Linked DNA regions of Caenorhabditis elegans. The protein of the gene in region 1 purifies or fractionates together with the protein of each later gene. This does not show direct contact. Each region holds a gene or a part of one and is shown on either strand. Other genes may lie near its edges.

The links.
Region 2: the proteins of F09F7.6 (region 1) and C49C3.7 fractionate together in Caenorhabditis elegans (co-fractionation; one large-scale study listed by BioGRID). This does not show direct contact.

The regions. Positions count from the first base shown.
Region 1 is NC_003281.10:5,550,595-5,554,322, reverse strand, and holds F09F7.6 (Ferritin), read left to right. Parts: upstream 1-2,187; 5' UTR 2,188-2,207; coding exon 2,208-2,360; intron 2,361-2,890; coding exon 2,891-3,001; 3' UTR 3,002-3,091; downstream 3,092-3,728. Other genes in the region: nmad-1 (DNA N6-methyl adenine demethylase), read left to right, coding at 1-159, 469-754; F09F7.5 (CRIB domain-containing protein), read right to left, coding at 3,210-3,314.
Region 2 is NC_003282.8:17,330,733-17,334,267, forward strand, and holds C49C3.7 (Coiled-coil domain-containing protein 176), read left to right. Parts: upstream 1-1,828; 5' UTR 1,829-1,846; coding exon 1,847-1,971; intron 1,972-2,018; coding exon 2,019-2,727; 3' UTR 2,728-2,728; intron 2,729-2,777; 3' UTR 2,778-2,914; downstream 2,915-3,535. Other genes in the region: C49C3.6 (uncharacterized protein), read left to right, coding at 799-911, 959-1,508; C49C3.15 (DUF4515 domain-containing protein), read left to right, coding at 3,505-3,535.

The DNA.
Region 1 (3,728 bases):
CGCAGACATGTTGCTCAATAAGATGAGTGAATACGACGTGAAGAAACTCGGAAATTATCAGCCATTCGAAATGTGCAATTTGGAGTATGAGGAAGTGAAGAAAAGTGCCATTGAGATGCATCAGGATGATATGTGGATTTGGGGAAATCGATTGATAAGGTATGAATTCCTTTTTAAAAAAGTACTGTTTAATTAATATTATTTTCGGCAGAAATTCGACAAAAAATTTTTATTTTTGCAAAAAAAACGCGAATATTTTAAAACGAAATTCCCATTGACAGTAATCTACAAAAAAAAAAATTTTTTTTAAGATCTGAAAACTTCAGAGTATTTGATTTTTCTCAAAAACTGTGTTCAAAAAAATGCCTTGCCTCGAGAATAATAAATTTAAATACTGTTTGTCCCCATTTCATTTTTTTTTAATTTCCAAAATTTAAAGAACTTTGAAGAATCCAATCAATTTTTCAGCATCAACCTAATCAATGGATCCGTGATGACTCTATCCAACGATAATAAATCGTTCTTATGCTACGTCCATATGCCTCATCGTTCTCTTCTCTGTATGGCCGATGAATGTAGATATGATTGGAAGCACGGAGTTCTCGCTCACCACATCCGTGGACGAAGAATAGCGTTGACGATGCGAGAGGCGGCCAAAGATTTCGCTGAGGGAGGGGAATTGTATGAGAAATACGGTGCCGAGCTAATTCGCCTGGGCAACATTCGAGTACCACTTTCGAAAACTTCCGTGTGATGATAATTCCTTTTTTCTGTCTGTTTTGTCATTCTTCTCCTTGTTCAACCAACTTTTTAATTGAAGAAGTTTTAATTTTTATTCTTTGTTCGTTTCTCGTTCAGGTGCAAAGTAATTATGGAATGAATCGGCTGAAAACCGAATTGGGAAAACAACATGTGACGTCACAGAGAGCCATGTGATCGAGATAAGATAAGGAGTGAACGGCTCGGAGAGCATTCATTTAATGATTGATTGGGATGGACACCTGTCAGATAGACTACATTACAGTTTTCCTGTAGGCACACGTGTGACCCTGAACCTAAAAAATTTGAAATTAAATTCCAACAAAGAAGAAAGAAAACCGTATAATTTAGATAGCCATCTCGATTATTTACCTGTAGTTTGGAAGACTCGTCACGAGGTTATTGAAAGAAAGAGAGAGAGTTCGCTGACAATTTGTTTACCTTGGAATCAAAAATTGCTTGGTTTGCAATTTTTCAGAACCCACGTGGCTGTTATTTTCTTGCGTTCATTAGGAATATTTTAATCTGTCAATTAATCCGTTTATAAAAAAACCGATTTTTAGCTTTGAATTTTAGTTAAAATAATGAAAAGAGACTTGCGCCTTTAAAGAGTTACGGTAGTTATCAAAAGATTTTCAGAAAGTTACAGTAACCCAATGAAGACGCACGTCTATTTTTTTTTAATTTACTGGTTTAAAACTAACTAAAATAAAACAAAGCTTTCTACTCGGACTGTGTTTTTACTTATTATAAAATCCCCGAAAAATAATTCCGTCTAATAGAGCGCAATTGCATCAGATGTTACAAAAATTAGCCGACGTATAATATTATAATTAATCTAATTGTGTATTAAACTTTTGCATAAACTTAAAACTGAAATTCTAGAAGAATCAAACACAGATTCAGAAATTCATAATTCTAATTCAAAAATTTCATTTTTTCCACGTTTTGTTCAAAATTATCAATTTTACATATCTCTGTAAATAATCTCTAATCAACATGATTCCCACACAGAAAAAAACCGAGACATCAAATCAAAAAGCACACAAAGTACGTTGATTGATCTTCTCTCCATCTGTTTATCTCGATCACCTCGTGGTTCTCTGCGTCTCTACCGTCTTCCTCTCAGCCTCTCTTTCTCTCACTATCTTATATTGTTGTTTTACAGTTTAAAGTGTATCTAAACCCCGCCTCTTTTGGGGGTCCTTCCTACCTTTTTTCGAATACCTTTGTCAGTTTTCCCCCGTCTCCGGAGACAGGTCCATCCGTACGCAACTCGAAGATTTTATCTCCGATCTAGTCCGGGTCACTTTTCAATTTCTCTGAAACGTCAAATTATCTATTCATCGTATTCTCTCCACCGCTCTCATCTCTCCTTCTATTAACCGATTTGCATAACAAAATTTTAGATTTTATTCCAATTTCATATTTCAGCTAATAATTACAAAATGTGCGACGAAGCCGCCCGTCTTGCCAAAATCGGCCGTCAAGAGTATGATCTCATTAGAATCCACGACGCGCCAAATTGCGATGATCAGACAAAGTTCGAGTGTGACTTGGAATTGGCTCGGTATCAAGTAATTCGCAGTGAAATGGCTTTGGTAAGGTTTTCTTTAATTTCTGTGAATCATTTTGAAGAAAATTTGAAATTAGATTGTCCATTAGCACCCTTAAATACATAGTTGAATTATGAATTGAACATGGTGCATCGACATTTTTTGAAAAAACAAAATTTTCCTTTTTCAATTCACGGACCCGATGCACCATGTTTTACGCGCAAATTATGTTGCGATGGAAACAGTACTTTATTCCACAACCTCAAATTTAAAAAATTGCAATAGTTAAGCCCGTTTTCGGAAAAAAATAGTTTTCAATTTCTCTGAAACGTCAAATTATAAAATTTCTCGACTACTTAGCAAAAACTATTCTGTACGCTGGACAAAATGCAAAATTCAAATGACAAAGCACTAGGATTTTGAGTTTCCAAAAGGCTGTAACTGAACATATTACTCAAAAATTGCAGTTTTACGGGGAATTTTCGAGATTGTAGATCAGTTAACAACTTAAAAAAGATAGTGTAGGCCACAAAAGATTATCCCATTCCACCCTTTAAACCCTTTTACTTTTCCAGAAAAACGTATACAACGAGGAATTTGTGACCCCTGCAAAACTCCGTTATCTCCGTGATGATCTGGAAGCCGCCGAGGAGCATCTGAAAAAGTTGCTTGAAACCTCCCATTGACGCGTTTGATCGAAACGGATTCTGTACATACCTTCCAAATTGTTATTTTTTGTGCTGTGAAGAAATGAAAATAAAATATATTGCTTTTTTCGCAAATCGAATCGGTTTTATTTGAGAAATTTATTTTTAATGGAATGGTGGTTTGGCACTGGAATGTAGAGAGACAATTGACTAGAGTTTAGTTAAGAATTTAAGTAAAACAAATAATTTAAAATCGAGTAATAATGAAATTATCGTCGTCTTCGGATTCTGAATCTGATGGGATCATTGCGGCTGCTGAAGGTGGTGGAAGCATGATGAAAGCGTCATTAATCTGAAAATAGTGGGAATTTGAATAATTTTTTGAAAATTAACAAGTGCCAGGAAATAGGACAACTACTGAAGGCTCCCCAGTTAATGATATTTGGTACAAAATCTATTTAGAAATATCTGCTAGGGTATGCAACCTGCCTCGTAGGAAATCTTAACCTATTAGCACTATTTTTGCTCATTACTTGGTTTGATCGATCGTTTGCTTAAAAATGTCTGCACGTACCTATGACAGAAAATTGTATTGAGAGCCCACTTATACATTTTGCTCAGTCTCAGAGAGAAACTTGGGTACGTGCGGACCCATGACCCACCATTCCAAAGAAAAATTTTGTCTAAAGAATTTCTCGAATTTCTTGCTTCTCTAAATCTATTTCTACTGGAAATTCGCAAGTAGTCAGCTGCTTCTTTTTGTTTT
Region 2 (3,535 bases), on another chromosome or scaffold:
TTTGTAGTTTCTAGTGTTTTCTGATAATTTGGACAGAGATGAATCTATAATTAGGTTGTTCATGTAGTTTCGTGATATGAGCTCTTAGAATTTAAAAAAATATTGAGATTACTGTAGCATCTCTTCGCAAAAAAACATAAAACTAATCTATGAATGTCTTCGGACAAATTTTTGGTTTCCCTGCACAGTTCAGAATTTGAAATTACATAAACTTCACAGGGCACCAGTATTTAACAACCACTATGATCGAGATCGTGGCGAGACCTATTCAGGAAATCAGCGTGTACCTTTAAACTGACGTGTGAAATTTTTGCAAAATTATGATATTTAAAAAGGAAATTATCCAAAGCAATCCAATAAATATATTCCTATGGAAATACTGCGAATATTTATCATAGTATTTTTTGGATTCTCTTTCTGCATATCCAAACAAAACATTCTGTGAACAATTTTAGTTTGAATACAAAAATATGATGGATCCATTTTAATCCTATAAAGTGCATATTTCAAGGCTTTTTATGTTTCTGACAAGCCTGAAAGTTTCTACAGAAAATGAAATTTAGAAGAGGAAAGTGCGCTCCAGCGTCATGCACCAGAGATGAGAGACGCGGGACAACGAGACGGATTTTGTTTGTTCGGTTTCTTTTTACGAGACTGATTGTACTTTTTTCTCTTGATTGTCTCACTTTTGTTAAATTATATCAGTTAATGGATATCAATGTGCGTGCGATGTTTTACTTTTGATTTTTGCGAAATTTTATAAATTTCCCTCACAAAATATTGGTTCTTTTCAGAAAAATGCCACTGTCCAAGAGACGAGCGGCAGGTAGAATCAATGGACTGAAAGGCCCACCCGCAAAAAAAAGAAAGGAAATTGAACGACATGAAGCTCTTCTCATGCATCCGTTAGCGTTAGTTTTATTTAGATATTTTTGCGAAAAATTGAACGAATTTACAGGTATACTGCAGAACAGTACGAACAAGTTGCAGAGGAGTCGAAGTTCTACAAAAATTGCTTCGAAACTACTGCCGCCGAGAACGTTGAACTTCTAAAATCCAACGATCAACTCAAAAAAGAGCTGGAATTGTTGAAAAACCAACAAGGAAATCAGTTGAAGGTCGATATGAAGTTCAAATCCCAAATCGAGAGCACCAGGCAATCAAATATGACGTTGCTTCGTGAAAGAGAAATTTGGCAAAATCGGTATTATGATGTTCTCGCTGAGAAGCTTGCGCTAAGTGCACGAGTGAAAAGTATGATGGGCGACATAGTAGAATCCGTAGAAGTGCCTAATGATTCAAATGGTAACACGTGGGAACTGCGAGAAGATTTGGAAATTGATAGAAGTGCTCGTAGAAAAACGGAAGAAGAACCGAAAGCTCAAAAAATGAATTCAACTCGTGGATCTCTGCCGAGAAATCAATGCTCCACACGCTCGAACAACCAAACACCCAATGAGATGCTCCTGAAAATGGCGATAGGATTGGATACGACGTCGGTTAATTAAGGTAATTTTGTATTTTACAAGAACGATTGAAAATTTTTATTGTTTTTTTTTCAGAATTCCTCAATCGACACTCAACACATTCCATCTCAACTTTATGAATCTCAGCACTCAAAAATCTGCTTCGTTTAATTTCTGTTTTGAGCGTTTTTGAAACGTTACTGCATTTATTTTATTAGAATAAACCAATAAATAGACAAAGTATTTTCGAAAAGCTTTTTTTTTTTTTGTAATTGTTGACATTTTCAAAATAATATTATTTAATCCAAATATCTCAACGATTATTAATTTTTTTAAATTCCTGTTAAGACTTTCCATCATAGTTTTTTTTTTCCAGAAGCATGCCACCCCCTAATAAAAGACAAAAACATGCAAGAATCTGTGGATTTATGGGTACACTTGCTAGAAAAAAGAAAGAAATCGAACAACAGGAAGCTCTGATGAAACTGCACAATCTTCCATTGACGTTAGTTTTACACGGAAGCAATTCAGAACAATATAAATTATTTACAGATACACTGAAGACCAGTACAAGATCGTTAAAGAGGAGTCGACGATCTACAAAAACCGATTTGAAACAGCTGCTGCTAAAAATGTCGAGCTTTTAAAAGCCACTGATGAACTCAAAAAAGAGCTGGAATTTTTAAAGAGACAACCAGGAAACCAGTTTAAAGTTGATAAAAAGTTGAAATCCGAAATTGACAGCGCTGAAGAGGAGTCGAAGTTCTACAAAAATTGTTTCGAGACTACTGCTGCTGAAAATGTTGAACTTTTAAAAGTCACCGACCAACTCAAGAAGGAGCTGGAATTCTTGAAAGCACAACAAGGAAATCAGTTTAAAGTTGATATGAAGATCAAATCCGAAATGGAGAGCGCTACACAATCTAATTTGATTCTGCTACGAGAAAAAGAAATGTGGAAAGATCGATTTAATGATGTGCTCTCTGAAAAGCTTGCTCTAAGTGCACGAATTAGAAATGTGATCGGCGACAGATCGGAATCCGTGGAAGTACCCAACGATTCAAATAGAGACATTTGGGAATTGCGAGAAGATTTGGAAATGGAGAGAAGTGCACGTAGAAAGGCTGAAGAAGAGCTGAAAATTCTAAAAATGACTTCAAGTCGTGGATCTATGCATATCAGCCGAGACTCCACCAACCAAACACCCAATGAAATTCTTCTGAGCATGGCGATCAGATTAGATTCGACGTCCAGTAATTAAGGTAACTTTGTAGTTTCACCTTGAGCATTTAAAATTGACATTTTTTCAAGGTTCCCTCCAACTCAGGCCAAGCCGTGTCATCTTCATGAATCTCATCACACAATCAATCATGTGTTTCGTTGCATTTATGTTTTGAACGTTTTTAGAACGTTTCTGTTGTTGAAATAAAATAAAATATTAATTATCGACTCTGAACAGTTGGCAAAAGCGCCCCAATGATCTATGAGGCCACATGATATAGAGTGAAGAGACGCAGCTATTGAAGAGAGTGTGTGTGCACGTTCGATAATTTTCTGTCAGTTTCTCCGTCTTTTGGAATGTGTTTTTTAGTAGCTTAAATTTCAAATTATGGTAAATTTACAAGATCTTGTCACACCTTCTTAAAGGCGCATGGATTTATTCAGATGGGTCTCGACGCGCAAAATGTTTATGGTAGACTTTTTTTGGATTTTTACGGCTGCTTCCGACTTGAAAACAGAAAAATGAAAAGGAAACGATAAAATTCGCTAAAAACTTATTAATTGAATTGAATTGAATTGAATGCATGAAAAATAAACGAAACAGTACTTAGTCAAAGTAAAAAAATTATACAATAAACTTTTTTCGCGCCAAGACCCATGATATGTTACCATAGTCAAACATAGCAAATAAGTTGAGTTCACGTCTATGTTGGTACCATCGGGATCACCGTGGCTTACGCCAAAACTAATGCTTCTTGTGTTTTTTATCACCACACAACTATTCGGTCACAATTATGAATTTGTTTTCTTCAGAAGAATGCCAAGACGGTCTGTTGCCATGCGTAAAC